4 linked regions of the Arabidopsis thaliana genome follow. The main gene of each other region encodes a partner of the protein of the gene in region 2 in a complex. Each region holds a gene or a part of one and is shown on either strand. Other genes may lie near its edges.

Evidence for each region.
Region 1: TBP2 (region 2) and PAD4 share a complex: the UniProt entries of both Arabidopsis thaliana proteins name them as parts of the nuclear protein complex.
Region 3: TBP2 (region 2) and EDS1 share a complex: the UniProt entries of both Arabidopsis thaliana proteins name them as parts of the nuclear protein complex.
Region 4: TBP2 (region 2) and AT5G46520 share a complex: the UniProt entries of both Arabidopsis thaliana proteins name them as parts of the nuclear protein complex.

What each region holds. Positions count from the first base shown.
Region 1 is NC_003074.8:19,429,137-19,434,986, forward strand, and holds PAD4 (alpha/beta-Hydrolases superfamily protein), read left to right. Parts: upstream 1-1,958; 5' UTR 1,959-2,429; coding exon 2,430-2,720; intron 2,721-3,821; coding exon 3,822-5,156; 3' UTR 5,157-5,314; downstream 5,315-5,850. Other genes in the region: OEP7 (outer envelope membrane protein 7), read left to right, coding at 639-833.
Region 2 is NC_003070.9:20,724,961-20,729,674, forward strand, and holds TBP2 (TATA binding protein 2), read right to left. Parts: upstream 3,132-4,714; 5' UTR 2,868-3,131; intron 2,527-2,867; 5' UTR 2,524-2,526; coding exon 2,447-2,523; intron 2,352-2,446; coding exon 2,264-2,351; intron 2,153-2,263; coding exon 2,081-2,152; intron 1,995-2,080; coding exon 1,944-1,994; intron 1,819-1,943; coding exon 1,774-1,818; intron 1,630-1,773; coding exon 1,537-1,629; intron 1,446-1,536; coding exon 1,344-1,445; coding exon of another isoform or gene 1,314-1,343; exon of another isoform or gene 1,265-1,313; coding exon 1,190-1,264; 3' UTR 1,184-1,189; exon of another isoform or gene 1,096-1,183; 3' UTR 546-1,095; downstream 1-545. Other genes in the region: BCDH BETA1 (branched-chain alpha-keto acid decarboxylase E1 beta subunit), read left to right, coding at 1-83, 175-252, 341-427, 510-545; AT1G55530 (RING/U-box superfamily protein), read right to left, coding at 4,512-4,714. UniProt on the Arabidopsis thaliana protein: General transcription factor (GTF) that functions at the core of the DNA-binding multiprotein factor TFIID.
Region 3 is NC_003074.8:17,754,814-17,760,053, forward strand, and holds EDS1 (alpha/beta-Hydrolases superfamily protein), read right to left. Parts: upstream 3,335-5,240; 5' UTR 2,880-3,334; coding exon 2,562-2,879; intron 2,486-2,561; coding exon 1,754-2,485; intron 1,658-1,753; coding exon 1,577-1,657; intron 1,481-1,576; coding exon 740-1,480; 3' UTR 516-739; downstream 1-515. Other genes in the region: AT3G48080 (alpha/beta-Hydrolases superfamily protein), read right to left, coding at 15-332; RR5 (response regulator 5), read right to left, coding at 4,299-4,473, 5,224-5,240. UniProt on the Arabidopsis thaliana protein: Positive regulator of basal resistance and of effector-triggered immunity specifically mediated by TIR-NB-LRR (TNL) resistance proteins.
Region 4 is NC_003076.8:18,865,792-18,872,975, reverse strand, and holds AT5G46520 (Disease resistance protein (TIR-NBS-LRR class) family), read right to left. Parts: upstream 5,361-7,184; 5' UTR 5,251-5,360; coding exon 4,679-5,250; intron 4,590-4,678; coding exon 3,467-4,589; intron 3,353-3,466; coding exon 3,053-3,352; intron 2,954-3,052; coding exon 2,543-2,953; intron 2,297-2,542; coding exon 1,100-2,296; intron 1,018-1,099; coding exon 1,000-1,017; 3' UTR 508-999; downstream 1-507. UniProt on the Arabidopsis thaliana protein: Disease resistance protein of the TIR-NB-LRR-type. Part of the RPS6 locus that contains a cluster of several paralogous disease resistance (R) genes.

The sequences.
Region 1 (5,850 bases), on a different chromosome or scaffold from region 2:
ATTAGGGTTTATGGGTTGAGTTGAGTTGACCAATAAATTTTGACCCATTGACACCCCTACACATATCAAATAATTTTAACCTATCTAAATTTTTTTTATAAAAATTACTAACTAACATGTCACGAGTTCACGACACATATCAATAAAAATATTAGATGTCTTCATGTATTAAGTCTAAATTTGTTAATACATTTACTGAGAAAATGAAAAAGTTAATAACTCTATATGAAAAAGGAGGTTATATATAAGTAAAAAAGAAATTTGATAATAAATTAAGAAAAAAAAAAACACAATTTGTAACTATATTAGAAAAAAGGTAAAAGTTCCTTATCCTAACAAAAAAGAAATTGTTGATATATTGAACTATTTATCTAATTCTATTGATTGTTTTTTTCCATATATATATTCCCAAGAAAATAAAATAGGGATCCTTTCAATTATATTTACAATTATATAAAAAGTTTGTATTAATTAACCAATAGACGGATAAAAAGTTGGGCCATAGTTTAACAAACAAACTATCTTTATCCAATGAGAAGCCCAAACCGGCCCATTTTAAACATCCTAGTAAAACCCATCTCCCGATCTTAAACCATCGGTTGATACCACCGACACGCGAACAAGACGACGACGCAGCGATGGGAAAAACTTCGGGAGCGAAACAGGCGACTGTGGTGGTCGCAGCGATGGCGTTAGGATGGTTAGCCATAGAGATCGCTTTCAAGCCTTTCCTCGATAAATTCCGCTCCTCAATCGACAAATCTGACCCAACCAAAGACCCCGATGACTTCGACACCGCCGCTACTGCAACCACATCCAAAGAGGGTTTGTAAAATTAGGGTTTTATCAGATTAAAGAGATTTACTGATTTCAATCCATTTCATGTAACTGATGAATCCATGTGTTCTTAATCATAACAGTTTGAGCAATTTCTTTTGAGTCATGATCGTTTATTTGTCATCAATTTTTGGAAAAGTCTGCTATATTGAATCTGTTATTGTAGTTCAATCGCATAACAGAATCATTAATCTAATCAATATTCATACATGATTTGTTACACCGTTTTTCGTATTTTGTATAAAGTTTCGAGCTGTATTATTAAGGTGGAAGAAGAGATTAGGAATCCGATAAGTACTTAAATTGTTTTAAGTTATGATTCGATTATACGTATCTCTTGAAAAGAAGCATGTTAGAGCAAAATATCAAACTTGACAATTACAAGATTGCTTTATAGATAAAGCAGATTAGCTAAATAAGTATAGGGAGACGATAACATGTGGTGATACAAAGATGTGTCAGATTGATTGTTTAACATCATTTAGTTGAGAAAACTTTGGACGACGACTGACTTCATCATATGAGAAAACACCAAGAAAATGTACTACTAGTCTCTAATGGAGAGACTTGGTTATAGAAGTTCATTGTTTAATTTGAATATTTACTCCAATTCAGGAAAATATCAAAACCAGAAAATTACATGAAAATTACTATAGATGGTAGCTTTGCAATGATTATTGTCCGGTTGGATAGTTTCATTGACATTTAGGATTCAGATTATCTCTTTTATCATTATCAGTTTGTTAAGGCAAGAGTTTTCTAATACATGCTTAAGTCCTAATCATCAGATATTTCTTCTTCAAACCTTTTTTGTTTTGTTTTGATAATTTGCCCCATTTTGTACTCTAGGTTTTTCCACAAAGATCCCAAACAGAGATTAAAAGATGACAATGGCATGGACCTTTCAATGCTTTGTTTTTTTGTTAAATTAGATATAAACCTTTCCAAACAGTAAATTATCAAATTCATTAACAAGTATCTATATCTCTCTAGTAGAGGTAGACCACAACTTAAAAATCTCCTCAAGTCATGGTGGGTCTAACTTGTAGGACTTATATGGGCCAAATTGTATAACTATATCATGTTAAGCTGAAACTGAAAGTAATTGGTTCCTTTTAAAAGCTTAGCCAAAAAAACTTCAAAATGTCTGAGTCAAATGTAGGTTGATTTCTCTGCAATTTCCATGAAAGATAGATAGATAAACTCTTACCAAAGTTTCTGCATATCAAAAGTTGTCAATTTATGCTCAAGTCTAAACCATTCCGATTACATAGGATCACATGCTTTGATTCGCATTTTCTTCTACTATATATTTACATATTTTTTTGTCCTCTACACACAATGATTAAAAAATGAGAATGGACCTACCTTTCACAGCATTTCTTTATTATTATTTTATAAAACCAGTACAATTTTACTAAATTATGATGTTAAAGTAAGAGACTTTGAAGAAGACGACTTAGCAAAGACCAAAACCAAGAAATTACATAGGAACAAGCCAAGAAGATACATAGATAATTTCTTTTTGCTTGTAATATATTTACAACTTCATAAACATCATCGTTCTGCAACTCTCTACTCGATATCCAATCATGGACGATTGTCGATTCGAGACGAGTGAGTTGCAAGCTTCGGTAATGATATCGACTCCTTTATTTACCGATTCTTGGAGTTCATGCAACACCGCAAATTGCAACGGGAGTATAAAGATCCATGACATCGCCGGGATTACATACGTTGCTATACCGGCGGTATCGATGATTCAGTTGGGGAATCTTGTGGGCTTGCCAGTCACCGGAGATGTTCTTTTCCCCGGCTTATCCTCCGATGAACCTCTACCTATGGTCGACGCTGCCATACTCAAACTCTTTCTTCAGTTAAAGGTTTGTTTTCTCTTCCTCTGTTTTTTTTTCTTTCTATTGGATGCAATTTAACCTATTTATTATCTTCAAGGCATGTGGATATTTGAATTTCAATTAATAATACCTCGAGAGAAAAATACAAAAATCATTAAATGCTAATATGGGAAATTATTTCACAAAGGATTTTAAAAAAAAACAAAATTCTATCATAAGTTTTATTCGTTTGGATTTGCGAAAACGAATTTTACCTATTAAAGTTACTATTTTTTTTACGTATTTTAGTACTTTTTAGTAGAACTGATGATCATTACTATTTTTTATTTAAATATCTCTGTCCTCTGAATTTTGATGAATTATAATCCAAATGGAGGTTTTTTTTGTCCTTTTAAAAGATTATTATAAACTATCACCACCACCTACCCCAATAGGCAATAGACAATAGATAATAAATAAAAATTATTTTCTTGTAAGAAATTCTAAAAAGATTCGTGGACACAATTATTCCAAATCCACCATTTGGAATATGTCATTGTCGCGACCTTTGGATATCATAAGCAAGTCAATTGAAAGTTTGGTTTGTATGCCATCACGTCCGTCCGCCCAAGTGATTTAAAAAATTTACTAATTAGTGAGTGAAACGTCATTGGTATTTTTGACACCAAAAAAAACAAAAAATGTTAATGGAATTGGTAGCTTTACGCTTTATGCTTTAACACACCTCGGCGAAGTTTATAAATGTGCGCTCAAAAAGTTTTTAACCCATGATTATTGTGTCACCATCATGTATTTTATTCCCTTTTTCGTCGAATACTTTTAGTTTTTGTTTTGTCTCTAAGGATATGAAAATCTTGAACAAAAACAAGTTCCTATTGGTTTTGATGAGTAGAAAAAACAAGAAGTGACCATTAATGTAGATATAAGTTGTAAAAATGGTAAGTCTAGAGAGGTGTCTTAACTGATTTTTATTCAAATTTGGTTAAACCAAGTAATTGGCAAATTTAGTCTCTAAATCAGTTTACATTATTAGAGGAAATTGTACACTCAGAAGGAAGGTAATCTATAATCAGTTTTGTTCTTGTTAGTCAACCAATTTACAGTAACGTCGACTGCATTAACGTGCAGATCAAGGAAGGATTGGAATTGGAATTGTTAGGTAAAAAGCTGGTGGTGATAACCGGCCATTCAACCGGCGGCGCATTGGCCGCTTTCACCGCACTTTGGCTTCTATCTCAATCTTCTCCGCCGTCATTCCGCGTCTTTTGTATCACCTTTGGCTCTCCTCTGCTCGGAAACCAATCTCTCTCCACCTCAATTTCACGATCACGTTTAGCACACAACTTCTGCCACGTGGTCTCCATCCACGACCTCGTTCCTAGAAGCAGCAATGAACAATTCTGGCCCTTTGGAACTTACTTGTTCTGTTCCGACAAAGGAGGTGTCTGTCTAGACAACGCTGGTTCTGTTCGTCTGATGTTTAATATCCTCAACACCACAGCAACTCAAAACACCGAGGAACATCAGAGGTACGGACACTATGTGTTCACACTTTCACACATGTTTCTTAAATCTAGAAGCTTTCTTGGTGGGAGTATCCCCGACAATAGCTACCAAGCTGGTGTTGCGTTAGCCGTTGAAGCTCTAGGTTTCTCTAACGATGACACAAGTGGCGTTTTAGTCAAAGAATGTATAGAAACAGCTACAAGAATTGTTCGGGCTCCTATTCTGAGGTCAGCTGAGTTAGCCAATGAGCTTGCTAGTGTCTTGCCAGCAAGACTCGAGATTCAATGGTACAAAGATCGTTGCGATGCATCAGAAGAGCAGCTAGGTTACTACGATTTCTTCAAACGATATTCGTTGAAGAGAGACTTTAAAGTGAACATGAGTCGCATAAGACTAGCTAAGTTTTGGGACACAGTGATTAAAATGGTGGAGACGAATGAGTTACCTTTTGATTTTCATTTAGGAAAGAAATGGATTTACGCATCTCAATTTTATCAACTCTTAGCCGAGCCACTCGACATTGCGAATTTCTACAAAAACAGAGATATAAAGACTGGCGGGCATTACTTGGAGGGGAATAGACCTAAAAGGTATGAGGTGATTGATAAATGGCAGAAAGGAGTTAAAGTGCCTGAGGAGTGTGTGAGAAGCAGATACGCGAGCACAACGCAAGATACTTGCTTTTGGGCTAAGCTTGAGCAAGCAAAAGAGTGGTTGGATGAGGCGAGAAAAGAGAGTAGTGATCCCCAGAGGAGATCTTTGTTACGGGAAAAGATTGTTCCATTCGAGAGTTATGCGAATACATTGGTGACGAAGAAGGAGGTTTCTTTGGATGTTAAAGCGAAGAACTCGAGTTATAGTGTGTGGGAGGCGAATCTGAAAGAGTTCAAGTGCAAAATGGGTTATGAAAATGAAATTGAGATGGTTGTTGATGAGAGTGACGCAATGGAGACTTAGTAGGACTAATAGCAAATCGAATGTTTGATATGCTATATAACAATCTGTATCATTGTTGTTCATCATGTTTATGCAAGACTTTCTGATGAATGTTACTATATATTCTAAAACAAAATTTATCGTCAATGTTCAACAAGTTTTGCAAGAGTTTCTTTTTTTGTGCAATGTGCAAAGAGTTTCTCATGTAGAGCTATTGCTCTCTTTTTTTTTTTTTTGGTGAGAAGTAAAGCTATTACTCTAAAACCAACATGTAGTGTGATGGTGATCTAATTTCAGGAATTTTAGAATACAAATATATAGAAAAACGTAAGACCTACTACATAGAATTCTTGGAGATTGCCAATATTTACATGATCCAAGAAGCTCTTTATCCCATTCAGATTTTCCTTTCCAATCCCCATTTTTCTGTGGGTTAATAAATCAAATAAATTCAAGTCAAATAAGTAGACAAATAGAGACAGTCCTTGTTCTTCAAAACTTGTGTCTTCTTGTTTCACCTTCTCGTTCTATAGTTTCTATTCACAGATCGTTACGCATACCTTACATACCATTTTCATACTATATACTATTATATAATTATGACTATCTATGATTCGTTATCTACAAGTTCTGATTCTTAACGACTCTGGCCAAATATTCATCGTCCTCTCGCGAATATAATGTGAATAGAAAATGTTGCAATATAGATAACTCA
Region 2 (4,714 bases):
GTGAACTGATAGATCTCAAGACACTGCTTCCTTGGGACAAAGAAACCGTTGAGGCTTCAGTTAAAAAGACTGGCAGACTTCTTGTAAGATTTAAGCAATCTTGATTGACAACTTCGGATTTTGATTTGTCTGGTCGATCTTATAGATTGCTTTTGCTTGTGCTTGGGGTTGCAGATAAGCCATGAAGCTCCTGTAACAGGAGGTTTTGGAGCAGAGATCTCTGCAACAATTCTGGAACGTTGCTTTTTGAAGGTTAGTAAAAAGAAAGCTCAAATCATCACCGTTACAAGTGACTACTCTTTATTGGTTCTCCGTTTCTTAACTGTCATTTAAAATGCAGTTAGAAGCTCCAGTAAGCAGAGTTTGTGGTCTGGATACTCCATTTCCTCTTGTGTTTGAACCATTCTACATGCCCACCAAGAACAAGGCAAGTTCCTCTTCTCTTATCATTCCTCTATTCCGACCCAAAACGCAGTTTCTAACATATCATGTGTTCTTGCTTGATGCAGATATTGGATGCAATCAAATCGACTGTGAATTACTAGCCGTACTATCTGTAGTTTACTGTTTACACTAGGACTAATGTAATCGCATGTCTTTGTTATCAATTCGTCTAATGTAACACTACCGATTAACTTTAATGAATTTCAAGATAACGAAAACATGTTATAATAGGACTATCTCACTTAATGTGTACGAAGATTATTATCTACTGAAAGATGAAAGCTTATGATCCAAACATTTGACAAACCAGAGCGGCAAATTGCTTGAAAGAGTATATTAAAGGGCAAACAGACTTGGTGTCTTATTACAGAACAGTTAGCAAAGAACTAAGTAACTCTTTAATGATTGGGTATTGTTCACTGAAACAAACAGAACATGAAACAAGATTACTTGGAAGACATTTTTAGAACAAAAAGAAAAGAGATTTATTGGCATCTCCATTCTCTATTTACAATTTCTGGTTTTGAATCTGAATCATTTCAAGTTCTTGTCCAAGGAATATAACCCCACCAAGCGCCTGCCAACACCCGAGATCTCTAGTTCATGGCAATCCAAACGTGAACATGGTTTTTGCCTTCAATATGGTAGGCTCTGCTTTCGAATCGAAATAGTCATAATCAAACTGTTGATTGATTAAGGGGTATAAAATGTAAATGGAGATAAAGAAAGTTGAACTTACATACTATTATTGCTGGACCTTCCTGAATTCTCTAAGAACTGGGTAGATATTCTCAAATGCGGTATAAGTCTCTTCTCTCATCTGATTCGGGATTTCATAAGATGACAGAAGCATTTTCATGGAAACAATTTTAATCATTTGAGAGAAGTTCAATTATTACCTTGGCTCCAGTTATAACAATCTTTCCTGACACAAAAATAAGCAGTACAATCTTTGGAAGTTTCATCCTATATATCAATCCTGGAAATAGCTCAGGCTCGTACTGGCATCAATGATGAGAGAGGTATGAATCATCAGACCGATTAACACCCATGTTACAAGTATATATGATCACAATGCTTGAGATCACTTACACTTGAGAAAGCACTATGAGAGTATGCAAGACCTTCAAGCCTAATGGGGAATTTGACATCACATGAGCCTACAATGTTCTGTATCTTAAAATCCTGCAAAATGTAATCAGCAATTTTATTACTAGACTTTATACGTAATTTTTCCTTCCGATAAAAATACACACGAATTGTTGATTGAGATAAAAATGAATAACACAGTGTGTGCTGGATCAGGACCAGAGAGAGACATATGAGTACCTTGAACTTTGCAGGAAAGCCAAGCTTTTGAACAATCCGAGCATACTGAACAACAAAAAGGAATTCTTTAATATAACAGAGAACAAATACCTACTAGAGCTGTAACAAGTTTCTAACTACAGTGATGCTAGAAGAAGAACATCAGACAGTATTGAGATGAGCTAGTTTACCTTTCTTGCAGCAAGCTTTGAAAGATGTTCACTTTTAGCTCCGGTACACACCTAATATTGGACAGCATAGATGCCACGTCAAAACAAGGACATGGAAGATTAGGCCATAAGAGAAAAAGTGACAAAGGAAAACATACCATTTTCCCAGAAGCAAAAATTAACGCTGTGGTCTTTGGCTCTCTGATCCTCATGATTACAGCAGCGAAACGCTGGAACATAAAACACAGATTAAAACCAAATCCGAAAATACAAACCAAAGTGGTGGAGACCAAACAAAATGATCGATTACTAAAACACGAATATCACAAAGAAAGCAAAACCTTGGGGTTATATTCAGCATTCCTAGCTTGCAAAGCTATGGCTTTAAGATCAAGCTTGCAGTCTAAGTTCACTGTTGAGACAATATTTCTGAAACAAACCAAAAAAGAAAAAGGTAAGATCTTGTGATTCACAAAAGCACAAACTCAGAATCTTAAAACAGAGACACAAAAGAGAGAACTCACTGAAGAGTAGGAACAATCCCTGAAGGATGTTTAGTAAGGTCAACTGGCTGGCTCCCTTCCGTTCCTTGATCAGCCATTCTCTAACATAAGAATCAACGTAAACACACACACATCAGCTATAAATCTCGTCTTAAATAGGGCAAAACAGAAACTCATGTCGATCCAAACCAACAAGCATCCACGAAACAAAATTGTTTTCAAGCTTTACAATTTCATTGACCAAATCTGGTTATCTAAAAACCAGTTTTGATAATTGAAATCTAGAAACATTGTTTCACAATCAAACAACGAAAAGCTATGAAACACACAACTTCAGAACATGAGATCCAATTCGTAACAAGCAACTACGAAGAAACTCAATTCAGATAAAATCCGTGGAATTGAATCCATTAGGAACAAAGGGTACGAAACAAAATCAGACCTTTCGCTAGTTAGCAATCCGGAATTTCGAAATCTAGGGTTTCGTAAACCCAACAGATTGGAAGAAATTCCCCCGAAAAGGCGAAAGGAAGGTGAATGATTTGAAAAAGGAGAAGGCTTTTTATACAAAGATAAGAAATTTTTAGAGAGGGAAAGAGATTTGTAAATTGGGATTATATATAAAGGAGAGAGTTTTGATTTTCAATATCGCTCTCTGGGTTCTCTCTCTGGGGATGAGATTTGTGATCTGCGCTTTGGATCTGTGGAGCTTAAGGACACGTTATTACCTCTATATACTTTCCTAAACTACCCTTGCCTCTCTTTGTCGGATGAGGGTAATTATGGGAATTCAGCTTATTAGATTTTAATGTTACGGTCTTTACTGGAATTTTAGGGAACCGTCCACTCTTTGTCTGCCACGTGTTCTATTACAGAATGTGTTAGCATACGTTTTTTTGTTGGATCTATATGTAAGACTATAACTCAAGACACGTTCACAAATATGAATCGAGTAGAGACTATGAATCGCCACAACGACGGACTTATTACAAAGCAGTAGATTATCAATTATTGCATGAAGGTGCCAACTAAAACTTGTTAGAGATCATCACTCATCAGTGTCCGGGTCCTTTCTGACGAGTACGTGCCGATTCACTTCGTCTGACACCAGCTTTTAGATTATCAAATTGTTGTGCTCCATTTCCTTCCCCTTAATTTATAATAATAATAAAAAAAGAGATTAAGAACTGAATATGAGTTTTGTTTATGCGTGATTGTATTTGTATGATCAAAGACGGTCACTTACTCGGCAGAGTTCGGCCCATAGTCGTGTTGTACGCGGAGACCAAGAGAATAATCAAAGTGATTAGGGATAAAACCTGACGATTCATTACTTCTTCTTTTGGATTATGACTAATCTGAGAGATAATGTAATAAGTTGATACTACAATACTTATATATATACAAGGAGATTTGGTGAAACGTTAATATATTAGTATATATACTATATCAAAGTTAAGTTCGTTAATGTCAAAAGGTTCGTTAATAGCGCATAAAGTTGGTAACTTTGGTCGCATTTTACACATGTGAACTCTAGCTTTTATAAATTCTAATTAATGTTTACGCGTAAACAAAAGATTACATGGTAATGCAATCATGGATTAACACAAGGAAAAAGCATCACTTCATTAAGTTTAGTAAAAGACATCATATTTTGTTTTGGATGACGACATATTAAACGAGTCGGTCTAAGTAATTAGGCATACAATATTATACAATTCCATTTCATACAACAAAGGTGATGAATGTTAAATTACTTTTTATGTTTAAATTTATAATTTATTACCAACACAATTCGTACTACAGCCACCAATCTTGTTATTTTACCATTAAGGCATTAATTTAACAAACTAAGTTGCAAAAGTGGCTTTGGTTGACAACAAAAAACACACAAGCGACTTACAGAATCCGGCAAAAGATTTGCTCAAAAACAATTAAAAAAACACAAACTGAAAGATATTTGTTTTCCAAAGATGTAGCATTCAACCAAATCTGAGAAACTTATGTACAGACAAAAGATCAGATTTAGGTAGAACCGAGATTTCATGATCACACCAAAAAGCTTATGTTGCTCAGGGAACATGTCTTAACTAGAATCCGTTGGTGCATTGCTATCTTGCGACGAGGAGAACAAGGTGCTAAACGGCCACGGGATCGAGAATCCGCTTCCGTCATTGTTCTCGTTCTCCTCCTCCTCCTCCTCTTCTTCTTCTTCTTCTTCTTCTTGGCGCCGGTTTCCATCGCTGTTCTCAGCTCCATGGCTGGTTGTAGCAGAAGCACTACTGCTTC
Region 3 (5,240 bases), on a different chromosome or scaffold from region 2:
TTTTGTTTACTTACAGAAGCATGAAATGAGGTTCTTGGACCAATGAGAACTTCAAGTGACTTGAGGAAAGCTTCGTTAACAGTAGTGTCAACGTCGTTGCCGATGCTTCTCATACAAGGAAATTGATTACGCTTCATCTTTATTTCTCCAAAGGGAGATGTATTCTCCGTAGCGAACAAATCTTCCGACGAGAAAGATGCTCGGAAGGCGAAAAAAACGGTTCCTCCTACTTCTTCTTTGAGATAGTGCTCCGTTTGGTTAGCTCCCTTCGACGCCATCCATGATATGGTGACTAGATCACCGTTGACTCCCGTAAGAGCTTCAAACGCCATTTCTCTTTTCTTGAGTGGACTTTCTTCTCTTTTTTCTTTTGAGTCGTCTTGATTCTTAGTCCTCCTACTCTGTTAATATAGTAGGAAGATGTAGACAGGAGTAATTACCCAAAATACCCCATCATGAGACCATTTCAATCTAAGGAAGGTTGTTTGTTACTGGTTCATGCTATTTGAGATGGCTTTAGGCTTTAGTAGAGTAACGTATATATTCTAAGATCACTGTAAAGTGGAAACCAAATTTGACATTAGAATAGAGAGCTATTACATTACTTCACAATGATCATACAACATGTTTCTTATTCTAAGATCATCATGAAGTGGAAACCAGATTGATAAACATTTCTTATTGCACAAATTAAGAGAAGCAAGTGTTCTAATAGCTTAAATACTCCACCACCTAAGGTTCAGGTATCTGTTATTTCATCCATCATATAGTCTCGCAGAGGAGAATGCGATTTGTGATTTTTGGGAAGCGTAATCCACCACTTTCTAAACGTTGAACCCTCCAGAAATATTTCCTTATCATCTACCTCCCCGTCTGTGATCCATTCTCCAAGCATCCCTTCTAATGTCTTAACTCTTACCTCAACTTCCTCGTATGGCTTTCCTTTGAGTTCTTCAACCTCAGCCCAAAAGCATGATCCGCACTCGGATCCCGAATTCTTTAGAGTCTCTTGAATTTCTTCTAGCTGTAACCCTAAGTTAAGACCATTTACCTTGTTCCAAAATACATCTTCTGCAATCATTCCGTTTGGCTTCAGTATATAATGTTCGTAGCCTCTCTGAGCATATATGTAGCGGGTTGGTCTTCCTCTTTTCATGTACGGCCCTGTGTCTTCGTTCTTTAAATGTCGATGGTAGTTTGCAATATCAAGAGGCTCAACTAATCTGCGGTATCGAGTTGCTAACTTGATCCAATCTATGTCCCCTTCGAACTCATCTGGAAGTTGACATTTCTTCATTAAACCAAGCACCTCGTCAAAAACACCGGCTAACTCAGCTCTCTTGACGTTTGCTTTGAAGTCATTCTCTTCATTTGAAACTTTGAAGGAATCATAATACCCATTTTTATGGGCTTGACACTTTGGCTTGTATTCATCTTCTATCCATGCTAGTTTCTTTAAAAACCTCTCTTGCTCGATCACCTAAAAACCACAGAACCAACAAGTTTTATGTTGTTAGACACAAACAGACGAAGCACGTACCTGCATTATTCATGAACAAGCTTATCAACCACAAACCTGAATAATCTTCTTCTGATTCTCTACTCGTTTCTTCTCTTCCTCTAATGCAGCTTGAACGTACTGTCTGCCTCTTGTGCTCTGCAGAAAAAGGAAACACTCTGAAGGGTTTAAATGATTGCAAGAATGGAGCTATGGAGCTGCACAGTATGAAAAGAGAGAGAGAGAGAGACTTACCACTCCAAGGTCATTGAGCGTAGACTCTATTGAGTTTTCTCCATCCAAATGATTAAACAACTTCTTTCCCATCGACTGTACCAGTTCCTCATAGCTATGATGATCTCTGATACTTCGAAATGGAATTAGAGACCATTCTTGTTCATCGCTGGCTTGAGAAGTGTAAAACAGCATTTGAAGAATGGCGTCCGAGTTGTTCACTGCAACCAATCTCTTCTCTGTAGAGAAAACAAAAGTACCGGCGGGTCTATAAGGACTTAGCTCAAGGAAACTAGAAAGGGTCTCTAAAAACGCCTCTGCGCTTCCAGTCAATTCACAAACAGCTTGGTTTGCAACAGTTGATGTGTCTCGCATCACCCTTGTGTAAAACTCTGTTATTCTCTGTTCACTCTCTTGGACGGAAGACTTTCTGGGATCCAATTGGGCAAGAACATGAGGCAAAGTTTCCTCTACAGACGCCTTTCGAGCAAGCATAATCCGAGGGACAATATCGAATCTTGAGACAAAGTTCACAAAGAACCGGCTCCATTTTTCTCTCCCAAGTGCGTGACTGAAGATAGAGTCACCAACCAAAGGAGCTCCAAATGTCACACAACGAGGCTCAAGGTAAACATTTGGATTGCGTATGAAGTATTTCTCCAAATACCAAACTGTTGCTAAGATTGCAGTTGCACCTCCTGAGGAATGTCCTGTGAACACTATCTGTTTTCTACTCCTCACAGCCATTTCCACCTGAAGAAGTAAAAGCATAAGAGACCAAAAAAGAAAAAAAAAGAAAAATATATTCGGATGTTTTCAATCTTCTTACAGAAGCTTGAAATGAGGTTCTTGGATCAATGATAGCTTCAAGATTCTTGAGGAAAGCTTCGTTAACAGTAGCTACATCACCTTTACCGATTTTCCTCATACAAGGAAACTGAACACGGTTCAACTTGATTTCTCCAAAGGAAGATTTATTGTCCGGATCGAAGAAATCTTTCTCTGAGAAAGATGGTTGGAAAGCGAAGATTACGACTGCTCCTGCTTCTTCCTTGTGATAGCGCTCGGTTAGGTAAGCTTGCTTCGAGGCTGACCATGATCTGGTGATTAGATCACCATTGATTCCGGTAAGAGCTTCAAACGCCATTGATCTATATCTATTCTCTTTTCTTTAGTGGACTTTCTTCTCTCTTTTTTCTTTTGAATCGTCTTGCTTCTTTAATCCGCTCCTACTCTGTTAATTTATGGGAAGATGTAGACAGGACTAATTAGTTACCCAAAATACCCCATCATGAGACCATTTCAATGCAAAAATGGGTTTTTTTTTTTGGAGTTGACTCTTTGGCTATTGGAGACTCATGAAGAAAGAAAAGCTAGGAATCTTAGCTTTCCACGTGTCGGTTTTACATTGGTGTATGGCTTTGTACATCCGACATGACTGGAGTTTCGCAGAAACTTTCATAAACATTCACATTTGGTCGGAAAGTTTTCTCTGTGTAATCTTTGCTTGGAAATTTTGTAGCTTGACTTTGGAGTCTTCGTCTCTTTAATATAGACTCCATCTTTTGGTTTGAGATGTCACTCTCGGTTGGGATTTCGCAGTAACTCAATGATATTCACTTTTTTGTCGGAAAACAATTTTGTTGTTTAATGAATGAGGAGATTTGTTCGCTTGGAGTTAAGTTTTTGTAGCTTGACTTGGGTTTTCAGATTTGGTCTCGTATAGAAGAAATCTACTACTTTAACTCTGTTTTGCTTATAAATCTTATCCGGAAAGTAAACCGGATAATCTACAAGATATGGAACCGGTTCGATTTCTCTCAGCTGAATATTAACCGAATTAACTAACTACACCTTCTTGCCTGGTCCGTTTTTGCGTTCGGCAAGACGCGTCACATTCGACTTTTACTTGTTTGATTATGAAGTTACATGAACCGGACTAGAAAAATTTAGTTTGTTTTTTTGGCTAAACCAAATTGCATAACCATATTTTGCTTTCAGATAGAATGAAAAAGCCTAGGAGACTAAATTAACAAAAGAAACAAAAAAAAGTCTAGGAGACTAGAATTTTCTTGGTCTTAATAAAACCCAACTTGGGGAAATTTCTACGAAAAGCCATGTAAAGTGTTCCAACCAACGCTTAAAATAACTAACTTATCTCGCTGGATTCGATTCATGTAGACAGCTTTATTTTAATTAGACAAAAGATTAGCTTGTCTTCGTGTAATGAACGGTACTAAACTACTAATCCATTCCTAAATCATTATTTAAGTAATCTTAACAAAAGAAATTCATATGTTAACTTCCAAAATAACACACCACCATTTTACATATCTCTCATGTAAAGAAAAAAAAAATGTATCTCTTCTCCTCTCTAATGAATCCAAGTCTACAATTTACATTTCTATCTTATAAAAACCCATCTTTGTCACTCTTGATCAGTCTTGGTTCTATCAGCAAAAGAAGCCGTAATGTCTCAAAAATTGTAAGCCGAAAGAATCAGGACATGCATGTGTGTGAATCTTTGAGCTTTTAAAGAACATATCGTACGTGGAATCTGATAAACTCAGATCTTTGCGCGTTTTAGCTGCGAGTAGATATCATTAGCTTCAAGCTCTCTCTTGTGCATAATATTCTTAAAAGCTCTTTCCTCAGCTTTCATTAAAGAATCTCTTAATCTCTTCACATCAGCTAATTTCACAGGCTTCAATAAGAAATCTTCAGCTCCTTCTTCAAGACATCTGAATAAATATAAGGAACCAAATGTTAGTGATCTAATTCCATAAAGTTTATAACTTTGGATACAGAAAATGGCCAGCTCATATATGATAATCATTAAACTTAATCTGGTAAAGAGGGTTTGGTTCCTTAGTAATAAGCAAAGGCATGTGAGGTGTCTATCACGAGGATTGGGATTTTATAAATGACCCTACCTAAGATTATGCAACCCAAACAATTAAAACATATATTATAAAGTTTTGGAGGGCCTAACATGTCACCGGCTTATATAGAATCAAATCTCAAGAGAAGATCTTGCTTAACTTATGATGGATTATTCTTTTCTAAATTTATGGCCACAAGATAAATTTTATTATTCCTAAGATCCATTTTAAAAATCATTTTAGGACCCACTAAAATAAACACCAAATCTCAGCTTGATCAAATATACAACCACCACCAAAGTTAACCCCATGATAGTTAAAAAGTAATCATATAATAACCTTTTCTATCATAACAAAATCTTGTGATTATACAACAATTTAATTTAGTCAATACATATCCTTTAACGGTAACTTTATCACAAATCCTAAATTAGTGTGATTACTTTAAAAAGTTTCCTAAACAAACAATACCCTCTAAATCTAATCATCCCCATCTCCTGAAGTAATAAATGCACAAAATCTACTATATTTGGTAAATTTTGGTCCTACATAATCTTGACCTAAACAAGAATTAAGGATCATAGTTAAGATTATTATAGTAGAATATACCTATCGATACGAGGCAA
Region 4 (7,184 bases), on a different chromosome or scaffold from region 2:
AAATTGTAATAGTAATGACATAAGCTCAAAACAAATGTGCAAGCTAAGAAAGAAACAGAGTACTTGAAAACAAATAAATGAATTCCATCTGCCAATTTTGAGAAATCTTCATTTTGTTAAAACCATTTGCGTGAATTCCATCAGTTTTTTTGTATCCACAACACGACTTGCATTTGAAACAATTGTGACGCTTTGTGTTAAAGATTATTCGGAACTAGACTAAGTTGGTTTATGGACTTTGAAAGATGCCTAAAAACTTTGCAGGTGTGGCTACAAAGCAAGTCAGTCGTTCGTTGTCTCTCCATAAACAAAAGAGAACTATTATACATCAAAAACTTAATTCAGGTCCACTTTAAAACTTTGTGCCTGACAGAAATTAAAGGAATCGTGATAGTAATGAAATAAGCTTATCACAAACGTGCAACCACAGAAAAGAAACAAAACATTTTAAAACATTCACATGAACATCAACATCTTCATCTGCCATTTGAGAAAATTATGTTCATTCAGCTTATTGTAATTAAAAACCAATGGCTTGAATTCCATCATGACTTGTTTTTGAAATAATACTAACAATCTAATTATCCCACAATTTATATAATATCAAAGTCTTTAACCAAACAGTGAACAACATTGATGGCTGTGAAATTGATCAACTGAATAAAAAGTCTATAACCAGATAATCAGAAATTCAAAAGTAACTTCGCACTCTTCAAAGTGTTCAGTCACATTGCCTATACCATCATCGTCACTATCCCCACGCTCTTCACTCTGATTACTCTCATTGCTTATATTACTGTCTTCGCACTCTTGAAAATGATCAGTCTCCCTGCCTATATCACTATTCTTATCCTCGCTCTTCGCTCTGATCAGTCTAATGGCATCCATCATTGTCTTCATCGGCCTCACAAACATGCTGCATAGTGTTTGGATTACCATGTCGGTTCTTCGATGATGACAGTCCTCTAAGTGTCGTATACCCCATCCGTTTAATATTACTCATATGAAGTGGTGTAGCTGCAAAAGAATCCAGTCGTCAATCATACAAAAAGAATGAGAGATGAATAGTCATTATGTTTAATTAATGCTTAATGCTTACCCGCATGCGCTTCTTGCTTCTCTCAGTCTCTACATTGTTATCTCCAGAGTCTTCACTATTTTCAATCTCATTAACAAGTCCTTGAACATGTGTATAATACCCCATATTGCCTTCTTCGGCTTGAGAAACATGTGGAAGAGTACTGTTTGGATTACCAAGTCGGTTCTCTGCTGATGAACCGGTCTCTAAGAGTCGTATACCCCATTCTTTTAAAACGACCGTAGATCTCCAATCTCCACTAGTTATATGAATATTTATATCCACATGATCATAGTTCAGTTGAGATAGAGGAACATTATCTTTGTATAGACGGATACGACAGTCAAATATACACAGATGAATACCCTTCTCAATTTCCATGAAATTATGTACCTCACCAAAGGAATCAAATTTGTTCCCAATTCTGCCTTTGAACCGACTATATACCCCGATATATACTCCATTGGAAGCACTTACCACTGCACAAACCCTAAATCTGAAGAATGGTTGAGAGAGTTGTGTGGGAAGTAGAGGGATGGGCAGAGAGGAAGACGTTCCAAATGGTTGAGAGTCAGATGTTCGGTAAGTGAAATATGATGGCACTTCTTCACCTGGCAATATCATGGAGTTGAAAATAATCGACTGTTGGTGAAGGACAGGTTCTCGATCCAGATTGACGCAATCCATGAAATTGACATTGAGGACGCAACTATCAGGAAGAGAAGAGGTGGTCTCCTCAGAAACTATGTCAGCATTGTCTGCCTTCATCATCTCCACCCCACTTGGATAGCAACTCAAATCAACTCTGGTCAATGCCCCGCAATTGGAAAAGCTAACTTCCCCAAGATGTTTGAGTTTAAAAATGTTTAGGGATACACATTTTAGCTCGCGGCAACCTTTCATAGTTAGCTTAGTGAGGTTAAAGAAGTTCTCGATCTGCCAAGGAACCTCTTCAATCCCAGTTTGGTCTAGATCGAGATATTTGATGTTGGTTGAGATATCAGGAAAGCGCTTCAACCGTGAGCATCCAAAGAGATTAAGGGAAACGAGAGATTCGAGGTTGATTCCGGTGGGTAGAGACTCCAGATTTCTGCAGTAACAAATGTCCAACCTCTCAAGGTTATTGAGATTCTGAAATGAGGACGAAAGCTCTACTAAATTTGGGATATTCCAGAGCTCCAAGAGGGTCAAAGTGGGAGACAGCATCGGCATGAAGGGCTGAACCAAATAAACAATTTAGAGATGTTAAACAAAAATCACCAATAATACAATTTACAGTTTGGGACTTTTCAATTAATTAATCTAAGCTAAAACAAATTCCATTACGAAACAAATTTGCATTTGTCATTTTGCATTCTTTGTTTGTTGATTGACTTGGTAATACTCAATGCAAGATTTACCTTTACACTTTGAAAAGAAAAACATATAATGGATTCTCATGATATTGGAGAGAACTACATATACCTTCACTCCTTGGCATTTATTCTCATCACTATCCGCTTTCCCCATGCTTAGCTCACGGACATTCTTGAAATACAAATTGGAAGGGTATTCTTCAATAGATGTTTCTGCCAGAATGAGATTTGAGATGTTGGTTGCGAATTCAGGAAAAGTCCTCAACTTCCAGCATTCATTGAAATTGAGGTAGTCCAGGGATTTGAGGTTGAAACCCGTAGGAAGAGTCTCCAATTCACCGCAGTATTCCATATTCAATTCCAACAGTTTATTGAGATTTCGTATAGAGGAAGGAAGCTCCACCAAACTCCAGCAATGTCCAAAGTCAAGTTTCTCAATGTTAGTGGCCTTTGAAAGATCTGGGATTTCTTTCAGGTATTTAGATGCCCACATATCCAATTCCTTTAGACATGTAAATGACTGTACTCAGACAAAAATAAACGCAGAGCTCAGTTGAAATTACACATCACGTCATTTAAAAACTACAATTAGCATTAACAATTTATTCTTAAACCTTACCATAGCTCCTTCCCACAGCTTCTCTAGCTTGCTGTCATGCATTTCGAGCTTGACGAGGTTTCGAAGAAAAGTATAAGGCATACATTTCAGTGGAAATCTATCCCAAATCAATTGTTTGGGTTGAACGGAATAATAGTTTATTTTTTCCGGTAAATGCACTTTGACTTCTTCTTCTATAAAAGTCTTCGAGGAAATATCCAAGAAAAGGAGATTACCCATCCCTTTGAAGGCATTCTCATGTACACAAAACTCACTAACCTTACTTGTATCCAATGATATTCCTAGCACCTTTCGAGTACCCTGAAAAATATGATATTAGTGAGATAGAGACAAAACCATACAATTCATGATTCATCAAATGGCACTTTCTTAACCTCGTATACTGAAAGTAGCACAACTAAAAAAAAGACTTACAATGCCTTCACTGAGTACAGTACGACTATCGTTTGAATCCACCAGAAATTCTCGTTCTCCTGGGTTGTCAGTGGACTGTGAGCGTACAATATTTCTACCCGTTTCTTGTAGCAAACGGTGCATCTCCACATGATCATTTCTGACATGAATAAGGGACTTATCAACTAGGTTTTCCAGTGCAATATTTACATCTAAGCCACTATCTGCGAGCAACAATTCAATGTCTCTGACTTTGACGTGATTGAAAAGACATGCGATAAGACGGAATAACGCTTGATCTTTTACGTTGCCTATCGCATCATAGCTGACTTTCAATGTCTCCTCAATATTGCCATCTAGATCATTTTGAAGCCTTGGCAACATCTTCACCCAGTACTCCTTTTTTCTCCCTCGTAGAGCTGAACCAAAAACAGTAAGACCCAAAGGAAGACTACCAGCAAGCCATGCAATTTCAACTACGAGCTCCTCAAAACCTTCAGGTGGAGAGTTTTCCCCGAAAGCAGACTGACAAAACATCTCTTGAGCGCGCTCTTTAGAAGGGAGACTAACTTCGTAAATATGATCAATTCCATGGGCCCTTAAGAATTGCTTATTATTGGTAATCACTATGATCCTGCTCCCACATCCAAACCAATTAGTTTTACCCACCAATGAATCTAGTACCACTAGATCATCCAAATCATCAATGATGATGAGAGTTTTCTGGTGCTTTAGCCTCTCTCCCAGTGCACCTAAATGATCAATCTTTATGTCTTTTTTCCCCAAAATTTCCGATAGGAAACATCCTTGCAAGTGCAACTTCATGTTCGGGTCGTCCGGATTGGCGCCCTTGTAAGTTTCTCTACTCTTATATACAAAAGCTCTGTCTATGAATTTGCTAACTGGGAAATGCCGAGAAAGTTGGTTAAACAGAGCTCTTGCAATGGTAGTCTTACCAATCCCCGAGGAACCCCATATACCAACCATTCTCACTTCCTCAGCTTCCAATTTCAACAATACACTCATATTTGCAATATGATCTTCAATGCCAATAGAGTTCTCAGCAGAATCCGTGGATGAAGTTAAAAGCAGTTTAGCCAAAACATCATTGGCTATTTCTTCAATCATTTTTGCTTCGTCATCCCTAATAAGGTGAAAGATAATTTAAGAAATATGAAACAACAATTTTATTTCAAGATGTATCTAATAATGAATTTGGTATAAAAATCATACCATTTGGCAGAATCAAATCCAAGCATATTAGCTACATCAGTCAACGCTTTCTTCCATTGATTTTTCACTTCCTCTGTTTGTCTCTTGCAAGTCTTTTCAAAGATACTTCCAAATTCACCGATTTGATACCTCACTTGGGAAGGATCCACACCGTAGAAAACCGGTATGATAATTTTATCATTGCAGTTCACAATCTCCAGCAACTCGTTAAGACACCAGCTCGACGAAGCGTAGTTTTTGGAGAAAACGACCACTGCGATTCTGGAGTCCTTGATCGCTTGTTCAAGATCGGGCCAAAGAGAGTGGCTTCTCTCGATCTCATTGTCTCTGAAAGCAGAGATCAGTTTCCGATCAAGCTCTTTGAGAAAGTGGCTACGGAATGTTACGCGGACGTCTTTCCCACTGAAGCTCAAGAAAACATCATAAACCCAATTGCGAGAAGAAGATGAAGAAGCCATAGAGAGAGTTAGAAGGAGGAAACTAGAAACGAAGACTTTGGAGATTGAGATTTTAAGAAGAGAAATAGAGGACAAGTAGTGAGTCTGTCTTGGTGGATATAAAACATTTAACATAACAGCTGAGAGGTAACTTGGCCATACAAGTTTTCACAATTATTTCTTAGACTTTTACTTGGCGGAAGTTTCCTCTTTGTTGACTCAATCGTCATAACCATATTTCATAGCCTCTTGTCTTTACTACTGTATATCATTCATTTACAAATTCTTAATAAAGATGTACAATACGAAGTTGCAAAACTTTTTACAAATTCTTAATAAGGATACAAGTTTTCGAAATTACCAAGCAATTCCACAGTAACAGTGAAAAGTGAAGCAACGTAATCATTATCCTACTGGCCACTGTTAAATCAGGAAACTGTGAACGAAGGAACGAGCAACAAAACATCAAAGAGTTTGATAAATATCTAAGGAGACTTTTTGGTCTTTTTAGGAGACTTGGTAGTTGGTAACATCTTAAAGCCTATGATATTTGAAAGAATTTGGGAGAATATCTATCACGAATTTTTAAAAAATGTAAATTACTTAAAGTCAGACACATCATCGTGCTTGACATAAAGAATAAGACGACATTGTCAACATTTTAGGTAGGGGAGGCAAGGCATTGAGTGGTGCGAAATTGTGCATAATATTTGTTTAATTTTCTTCCGAGTCTTTTGAAGTTTTGTGGTCAAGTCCACAAAAAACAATAAAAATACTGTGGAGGAAAACCAAATTTCTTTTAAAAAAAATCTAGTGTTAGCTTAGGACTTAGTTAAACACATGAGTTGGAAACAAAATAAAAGACTTATTAGTTCAAAATATTTAATTGTAAGATTCTCAATTCTCATATATAGACATGGTCTCAAAAGAAACAGAAAAAAGGGACAAATTGGACAATAATGGGTGTCACCATGTATATCTAAATATAGAAAGAAAAGAAAAATTAACCAATCAAATAAGAAGAACCTCTTCCAATTGATCTCCATTCTCCTCTTTTTTCGTCAGCCTGCAAAACTTTTGCAATGCGTCGTCTTTCCACCACCTAACGTGAGCCGATTAAGACTTGGCGATTTCTTCAATCATGCTTGCTTCATTATATATCCCTAATAAGAAAAAAGACCAATTCACAAACATTAGCAATTGCACCACTGTTGTCATACACCTTAACGAAAGTTTCCTCTTTTCTGCTGGATCTTGACTTAATCATCTCTTTTAGATTTGGACTTAATCGCCACCACTCAAGTAAAAACCATGTCCATAGCCTCTTATTCTTACATTAATATCTTGTCAGATCCGTAACCAACATTGGTCATCAAAGTGACTTCCTCCAGCTTTCCTGAACAATAACAATTGCAAGACAAAAGAATCATCAGAGAATGAAAGTTAAGCATATCATTAGAGAATCAAAACAAGCTTTCAAACGAATGACATAGGTGAGAAATGTCAACAGGGTTAAAGTAACAGTAAGCTTATCAAATCAAAAGCTAACTGTGTCGCAAGACCTGTAGGAGATTCACTTTCTGCCCATGTAAAAACGAAGTAACCAGAAACAGAATTTTGATTACCAGATACCACAGGGCATTGTCTAGATGCAAATTTTCATGTTCCTAACGAAGTTTGAAACAATCTAGAAAGCCTCAGACCTTTTTCAACTAGTGGAGAGTGAAATCCGAAAACGAATAAAAGAAAACTCAATTCAGGTACACTGTAAAACTTTGTTCCAGACAGCAAATTCTTGTGAACACAAATAACACAAATAGTTCTTCAGAAATTAAATCGTTATAGTAATGAAATAAGCTTATCACAAACGTGCAACCTAAGAAAAAAAACAAAAAATTATAAAACATTGACATGAACAGTACCATCTTCATCTGCCATTTGAGACAATTCCATTCCTTCAGCTTTATAATCTAATTAAAAACCAGTGGCTTGAATTCCATCAATTTTTGTAACTACATCACGACTTTTTTTTGAAATATATGCCTCATAATACTAGCACACATGTATCT